Linked DNA regions of Arabidopsis thaliana. The protein of the gene in region 1 purifies or fractionates together with the protein of each later gene. This does not show direct contact. Each region holds a gene or a part of one and is shown in the gene's direction. Other genes may lie near its edges.

The links.
Region 2: the proteins of LTP4 (region 1) and AT1G48610 fractionate together in Arabidopsis thaliana (co-fractionation; one large-scale study listed by BioGRID). This does not show direct contact.

What each region holds. Positions count from the first base shown.
Region 1 is NC_003076.8:23,924,185-23,927,903, reverse strand, and holds LTP4 (lipid transfer protein 4), read left to right. Parts: upstream 1-1,946; 5' UTR 1,947-2,131; coding exon 2,132-2,460; intron 2,461-2,598; coding exon 2,599-2,608; 3' UTR 2,609-2,914; downstream 2,915-3,719.
Region 2 is NC_003070.9:17,969,916-17,975,105, reverse strand, and holds AT1G48610 (AT hook motif-containing protein), read left to right. Parts: upstream 1-1,703; 5' UTR 1,704-2,025; intron 2,026-2,302; 5' UTR 2,303-2,307; coding exon 2,308-2,796; intron 2,797-3,676; coding exon 3,677-3,739; coding exon of another isoform or gene 3,740-3,784; exon of another isoform or gene 3,785-3,992; coding exon 3,993-4,079; 3' UTR 4,080-4,495; downstream 4,496-5,190. Other genes in the region: HON5 (high mobility group A5), read left to right, coding at 1-23, 560-634, 728-958; ATHAL3B (Flavoprotein), read left to right, coding at 5,026-5,190. UniProt on the Arabidopsis thaliana protein: May bind DNA.

The sequences.
Region 1 (3,719 bases):
CAAAATTCTTAGCCTGGTGAAGGAAGCCAAAATATTGTTTTATTTGTATGAATTTTGGTTAAGTCATTATTCTAGAATTGTAATGAAAGAAAAAGAATGATGAGCATATAAAGTAGTGATTAATTAGTGGTTCAATTTGAGACGCGGAAGTAGTTTGTAGTTGGTAGTTGGTAATTTGAAATGTGAAATGTGACTTGCATTTACTTGTTTTTCCTCTTCCAGAAATTTGTGGATTATATTATAAAAGATAATTGGTGAGTATTTAAGGTATATTTTTAGTACAATCAAATACATTATTATTGTAATTGTAAGACCATTGCATTCTGAAATTTTGGATTTTTTTATTGTTAATATTTATATTTATTTAAAGGATTCCTTATAGTACAAGGACCTTAATTAAAAATTGATTTCAGAATAGTAAATGCAGTAATGTGTATAAAAGTTGAAACAGCTTTAAGACATTTTCCATAAAATAGTTGTAGTAGTTTTTACAAGTTTACTATAACTATTTCTTTTAGCAAAAATAAATTATATTTGTAACCTGTTGTGTATATCTTAAGGAAAACTAAGAAAGCTCTACCATTTATAAAAGCCATTTTTTGACAAGATGGAAACCATAAATCAAAGCTCACAATAATCATCATAATCTTTGGAACACCAAGGATTCTTGCAGTTTCATATGAAGATTATACGGAATTGCACTGATTATTTTAGTGTTATTTTAAAATGATAATGATATTTTATATATCATAAATTTGATATAAATGATGATATTTTACAGAATGAAATGTTGTTATACATACTATACCTTAAGAGCATATAACATGATATAATTGCTACATTAGTGTCGGTAGAGGTTTGTGTAGTCAAATTGTGACTATTAAGTACTACACATGTGAGACATTTATCAATCTTGTACGATGTTGCTTGACGGTTTTTGGCTGATAGTATCCAACACCATACATCAACCTTTCACGTCCCAAGCTCTCTAAGACATCGGAGAAGCATCATCACATGCGTACGTAGAAAGGAAACACAAAAGTTAAAGACATTTTGTAATATGTGTAACTATGAGACATATATGAGACTGCATGTGACTATGAGTTATATATGGCTTATAGAGCGATAGTGTTATGGAGATTATATTGCATTCATGCTATGTACTGCATAAGACGAATTCGGTTTCGTGTATTTATTCCCGCTTGAGTCTAGAATTGGTTTCAAGTATAGTTAGAAAAAGACTGTTTTTTTCGTCCTATTATGGTTCGTATACAAAATTATGCATTGAATTGATGTGGCATTCACGTAAAAATCTTCCTGCAGGGCTATAAAACGTATTTTTGGCGTACGATTATAATAAATTTTGTTATTATTCAGATTATTTATTAAATCTTTTTTGTTGTTGACAAACGCATTTATGTTAATGATTATACGAAATATCGAGAAAAACTCCATATAGCACCTCTATCATTCAATTATGTAGTAAGTCATAAAATGTGAACTTTGCTAATTATAATGGCCATAATTAGTAAACGTGATGGGAGAATTGTGATGTTTAGTGTTGGATACACGTGTCTATCAGCTGCACATCGCATTTAATTGGACGGTATTACATATATAGTACACATAATAGCTGACATTTCATCTACAACGAAGATACAAATTTTTAAACGATTTTCTCTTGTCTACTACAGTATAACATCGCTCTAAACATGCTAATTAAAAAAACAAGTTTAATTAACTGCAGATAAATGAATATATATTTTTTAACAGTATAGCTGTATATATATTGACGTATTGGTCTTTGTACATTCTGAAAACTGATACTATTGTTTACATAATTACATATGACTGGAGAAACTAATTATTTTGGTTAGTAGAAGAAACATAACTACATATGACTGGAGAAACTAATTATTTTCGTTAGTAGAAGAAACTAGAAAGAATGCATGAAGTAAATGCAAAACCAACTACTAACAAACCCTACTTAGTCATCATTTTTCCCCCATACGAAATCCCTATATAAACCCATCATCATCTCCCACTTTTCTCACATCCAACAACAAAACACAAGCGTAGAAAACAAAACTCAACTAATTGTGTTATCACCCAAAAGAGAAGAGCAAACACAATGGCTTTCGCTTTGAGGTTCTTCACATGCTTTGTTTTGACAGTGTTCATCGTTGCATCAGTGGATGCAGCAATAACATGTGGCACAGTGGCAAGTAGCTTGAGTCCATGTCTAGGCTACCTATCAAAGGGTGGGGTGGTGCCACCTCCGTGCTGTGCAGGAGTCAAAAAGTTGAACGGTATGGCTCAAACCACACCCGACCGCCAACAAGCATGCAGATGCTTACAGTCCGCTGCAAAAGGGGTTAATCCAAGTCTAGCCTCTGGCCTTCCTGGAAAGTGCGGTGTTAGCATCCCCTATCCCATCTCCACGAGCACCAACTGCGCCACGTAAGTTTTTAATTGAGCAGTACTGCTCATATTCTCTCTAATATTTTTTTTTAACTTGGCTAATTTCTCGATCTTGAGACGATGACTTAATCTTTCTAGTGATGTAATTTATACTCTTGATCGTTTGTATTGTTGCAGCATCAAGTGAAGTGGGGAATAACGACATCATTTGCCTGAAGAGTATGGTTTCGTATACGTAAAATAAGACGGCTATCTAAGCTGATATTTACCTTGTCTTTGTTTGTCTTGATGGCTTTGTAATCTTTTGCTTTGTTATGTTGTATACTTGTGTCTTAACATGTTTAAGATATGATAATATATAGTATCGGTACCTTATTAATCACCTTCTCTTTATAGTTTATATATCTTTCCGCCAACGCACTCATACGTAAAAATCATATAGTGAAGAGTCTTATAACCAATAATATTAAGCTCTTTTTAAACAACAAAAACCATATTATAAGCTCTTAGGTTTGGAGTGAAATTATAATTTTGAGATTGGTAAAGTGTAAACCAAATTCTATATATAAATACGAAGAAAAAATGTTGAATGGTACGGTGTACCTCATCCAATTATTAACTTACCGACGACACGGAATTGATATCACCAGCATAATTGAAAATAAAATTCAAAATATTACTAACAAACAATATTTAATTGATTAGGACAAGTAACAGTGTTGTTAAGTATAATAGAAAATAAATATTAAACATGCATTATTCAATTATTCATAAAACTAAAAGAGATTTCATCGAGTTGATTATGAATCAAGTTACTTTTTACTAAGTAAGTTTTCATTTGGTATGAAGATATGTAAAGTTACTAAGTTTTCATTTACGGATTCATCGCAGACAAATTTTCGTCAAATCTAGTGTACCTAAAACAATTGGCTTTGATCAAGTATACTGCGACTTCAAAGAGAATTATTTTCAAGAATTTGTATTGACATAAGTTATTCGTATATGAATACATAATTTTTTTAATTCCTTTATCAATTAAAATATAAAACAAATCAAATCCCAAATACTCAAAAAGTCAAAAGTTAATTTCGAGTTAGGGCAAAAATAAAATAATGACACCGATCGGATATCCGATTCGTACATCATTATCGCCTCTGTGAATCGGTCGTACTCTCAACCACGGAGGTTTCCGATCCTAGAGAGGAGGATTCTTCAGTTTACGCTCTTGTCTCTTCTTGAATCCGGTGGACTATTTGGGCGGCGATACATCCATCGGCAAACCAAATTCTGCAATCTCT
Region 2 (5,190 bases), on another chromosome or scaffold:
AACCCGTAGGAAGACCCAGAAAGGTAAAATATCATTCCTTTTTGTCTCTGCGATTACACAGTGATTATAGAGAACTTGAATATTTCTAGTCAAATAGATAAGAGAATAAAAGTTGGAACTTTTGTCTTGTGAATAAATGTCACTTTCCATTCTCAACATTGTCTCTTTCGAGCGTGTGTGTGGAGACTAGAGAGTATCTAACTAAATAAATTCTAGAGTTTAATTTATATTCGTGTCTCTGCTTTTGGCCTATACTTAATCTGGTTTTGTGGTGTACTATTAATCTAAGATATCTCTTTGTTTGGTAATCAAGAGCAACTTGGTAGGTGGCTCGCTTTAGCAACCAATAATTGTTCAGTTGAAGTGTGAGAATTACATATGAACTTATCTTTTGAGACAGACATCTTATCAAGTTTTGTCTGTTTTAAGCAGAAATTTAGTTAATTCAGTCAAAGTTCAAGAGTTTGTGTATTTCCAAGTCCACTAGAATTTCTTTGTCTATTATATTGATGAGTTAGTTATCTAATTACATTTATATTATTGCCATTTATAAACATAGAATGCGGTGTCAGTGGGAGCTTCTGGACGACAAGATGGTGACTATGGAGAACTGAAGAAGAAGTTTGAGTTGTTTGTAAGTAATCTAATGAACAGAAACACAATATGGTCCGTCCTTGGTTTTGATACTTAATTGCTTATGCTTGGTTTTGATATCTCATTTATGCAGCAAGCGAGAGCTAAGGATATTGTAATTGTGTTGAAATCCGAGATAGGAGGAAGTGGAAATCAAGCAGTGGTTCAAGCCATACAGGACCTGGAAGGGATAGCAGAGACAACAAACGAGCCAAAGCACATGGAAGAAGTGCAGCTGCCAGACGAGGAACACCTTGAAACCGAACCAGAAGCAGAGGGTCAAGGACAGACAGAAGCAGAGGCAATGCAAGAAGCTCTGTTCTAAAGATAAAGCCTTGACATAAAAAGCTAGCAAGTGGTGGGTTTACTTGTTGTGTGTTACATGAAATTTTTAATCTTATAAGGGTGTTTGCAGGAGAAAAACAAAAAGAACAATGTGATGAACTGATGATGATGATTGTGTCTCTAACCAAACAACAAGGAGAGGTAGGGTAATGTCTGTAAAGTGAATTAGGATGTTACCATTGTTCATGCTTCCCATCTCTCTCCATCGTCCATATCTGTGTAGGCAGCTTTGTTCTTTGTTCCCTCGTGTTTTTTTTAGACTGTTGTGTCTCTTATTCTATTTTGTCTCCTTAGGCTTTTTAGGAGTTGTTGTTGATGTTTATCAAAAACGCTTATGTAATTTTTATGACCACTTCTACTTTTTATGATGGTTTCTTCAAGTCTCTTACGTTATGTAGTTAGAAAACCATTAAATAAAAGTTGCTTATGTCAGTTGCTCTGTTTTAATTTGAAATCCGGTTTTAATTTTAAGTGTACTTATTGCAGAAATTAGGTAGAAGGTATAGAACGGTTTTACTCTTCACTCACACACCATTTAACCAAATTTCTAAATTTATTACTCGATAAACACTTTTTTAACAAGTTTTCAATACTTTTCTCCAAAAAAATTTTGAATTTGAAATAAAGTAGTGTATTTTTCGATTTTGGTTTTATAAATCAACTTTTTTTTTTGAAAAAGTTAAAAAGAAATCACCACCACATTTGCATGTTATACTATAATACCAAAAAATTAATATTCGTGATTTATTTTAAAAATCTGTGAATTAAAAAGAAAAATGAAATGTTGATAAATAAAAATAAAAACAAGGAGTAAAGGTGGACCCATATCGGTTGACGCAACTGATTCTGAACCTCTCGGTCGTTCGTTTCTACTCTTTCCAAGCTCTAGCCCATGGTGGTGACCTTCTTCTTCTAACCGCGAAAACCATCTCTATCTCTCTTATCTTTCTTCTCCGCCAAGTTTCTCTTTGTAATTTCTTTCTTCTTCCTCCAGATTCTTCAAGCTTCCTTTACCATCTCGCGAATCCTTCTATTAAGTTGAACAAGGTACGTACATTGCGATTTGCGAACCCTAGTTTTTCTCAAAACGAAATCTCTACGCGTGAGAGCCTGAATCTGTGTTTTACAGTCTTCGTTTCTAGATTCTAGGTTTGTGACATTTGAAATTTCGTTAAGGTTTTAGCGAAATCGAGTTTCTGGTTGTTTAGTTTAAGTCTAGTCTCCGTTGATGTCCGTTTTTGCTAGGGTTTTGATTCCGATTAACCGCCGTTTTCTCACATTTTGCTTTCTCTTTTTTTTTTTTTTTTCTGATTCGCATCTACAGATCTCATGGCGAAAACAGCTCTTACTCCTCCCGCGTCTGGTTCCGAAGTTCCAAGATCCGGTACACCTGGAGATGCGTCTGGCAACAAACCTCAAACGGATGCCACCGGCGTCTCAGCTACTGATACTGCTTCTCAGAAACGCGGTCGTGGTCGACCGCCAAAGGCTAAATCTGACTCTTCCCAAATCGGTGCCGTTTCTGCGAAGGCGAGTACTAAACCAAGTGGTCGTCCGAAAAGAAACGTAGCTCAGGCTGTTCCTTCTACGTCTGTGGCGGCGGCTGTGAAGAAACGTGGTAGGGCAAAGAGGTCGACTGTAACGGCGGCTGTGGTTACTACTGCTACTGGAGAGGGTTCTAGAAAACGAGGGAGGCCAAAGAAAGATGACGTGGCGGCTGCAACTGTTCCAGCAGAAACTGTGGTGGCTCCAGCTAAGAGACGTGGAAGGAAACCTACTGTCGAAGTAGCTGCACAGCCTGTGCGCAGGACTAGGAAGGTATGTTTCTCTTTAATTTCATTATCTTTATTCACAAAATGTCAAAAGAAATTTAGAAATGGTCTGATACCAATTATATGATTGTTCTTGACTGTTTGTTCTGTATAGTGTGGAAATAATTCAGGGTAATGTCTTATTTGACTCTGGTCTCAAATGTGGTCTACTTTTAGGATTGCAGTATCTGAAATTCCCCGTATTTTTAGAAAAATGTGTATCTTATCTGGATTTTGGTGTATTTTGGGAAAATGTCTTATTTAATATTGTTCTTCTTGACTGTTTCTTCTGCATATAGTAGATAAAGTTCAGAGTAATGTCTTTATTTGTCTCAAATGTGGTCTATTGTGAGTGTGAAGTATCTGATATTATTCGTAATTTCTTTGAAAAGATGTGCATCTTATCTGGATTTTGGTGTATTTCATTAAATCTTTTTTTGTATAATGTGGAAGTGAAAGTGATTGGTCTATTTGGTAAGAAGTTATCATGTAATTTGAGTCCAAATAAATTTCACAAGTGTTTAGTTCATGTTAGACATAACAATGCTTAATGTATAATTTTAACAAAAGGTATATACCAATTATACGGTTGTTCTTGACTGTTTGTTCTGCATATATAGTGGAAAAAGTTTAGAGTTGTATGTTATTTGTCTCTGGTGGTCTCAAATCTGGTTAATTTTAGGTTCTGCAGAATTTGAAATGATTCGTAATATTTTGAAAAGATGTGTATAGTATCTGGATTTGGTGTATTTCTTGAAATCTATTTGGTTAGTCATTATCATTTCATTTGAGTCAATATCTACAAGAGTTCATGTAAGACATAACCATGCTTATACAACTGTGTGTATACTTATGTCAAAGTCGGGTTTTCTATGCATGAACAAAAGAGCACTTCAGTGGCACCGGTAGCTGCAAACGTCGGAGATCTCAAGAAAAGAACCGCACTCTTAGTAAGTGAACTATCCCCACTTAGCTTCTATAATGGTTTTTCGTAAACATTACTGTATCCCTGCATCAATTTGATTTAGACATTATGTTGTGTGGAGCACAAAGGATACTAGCAAGTCAACAGAATTGTTAGATTATGTCGTATAGCCTAGAAGATGGAATTGAATGGTCATTTGATTAGTTAATTAAAATGGATTCATTTCAACTAAAAAGAAAGAATCTGATGATAAGTTACTGAAATGAAAAATGTTGCAGCAAAAGAAAGTGAAGGAAGCTGCAGCTAAGTTGAAACAAGCAGTAACAGCAATTGACGAGGTCCAGAAGTTAGCGGATGGAATGTAAAAGAAAGCTACTGATATGACTGAATCCTACAAGGGATAATGATGATCGAGAAAGAAATCTTCGTATGTGTTTTAGGGAATTTAATTAGGAGAAAACATTCATTTGGAGGAAGACTGATTGGTTGTTAATGTTTGATTTTCACTTTAGGGTTGTTTGTTTGTACGTTTCTAGGATTTTGCTACCAGAAGAGGTTTAAACAGTAGTGTTAAAATGGTCTATGTGTAGCTCGGAGATGGGGGAAACTTTCACTCTTCCTTCTGAATTTGATTTGCTACGTCTTTGTTATCAAGAATTGTAACATTCTTTTCCTTTGAGGTTTATGAATTTGGAGTTATAAGAAGCTTAGTAGAAACCTAAATATCTCTGAAACTGTCAAATATCTTCACTAATTTGAAAATCTTATTCTGAAAACTGACACTAGTCTAATAAACATAATTGATAGTTTTCTATATATTAGAATCTATAATCGTTATGGTGCAAGGGAAACATAGTTGATTGTTAATAAAACAATTTAGGGGGACTTGAGAAACATTAACATTCGTATTTGTGTGACTGGGTCATAGTCTTACTGAACACAAAACCAGAATAAGGTTTTTGGATTGTTTCAGTTTCTTGTTGGGAAGGCCCATTTTTGATTAGTCAACGACCAGATTGACCAGCGATGACGTCGACTTCTCTGTTTTGTTTTCAAACTTAAAGACCCTCGCGGCATTTGATTTCGATTTCCGATTAGGGTTCCTCGCAGATCCTCCTTCCTCGGCTGTAACAAGGTAATGTCTCTAACACAAACTTTTGAATCCATTGATCTCTCGCTTCCTTTCTGATTTGACAAAAGATGATCGTTAAAATCCATGTTCGGATTCTGAATTCCTCTCTGAGAAATGAGAATCTCATAGATTGTTTGTATAAAATTTGATCCTGCTTCTGGATTCAGATAGAGAAGAAGATGAATATGGAAGTGGATACAGTAACAAGGAAGCCTCGTATCTTACTAGCTGCAAGTGGAAGTGTGGCTTCAATTAAGTTCAGTAATCTCTGCCATTGTTTCTCAGAATGGGCTGAAGTCAAAGCCGTCGCTTCAAAATCATCTCTCAATTTCGTTGATAAACCT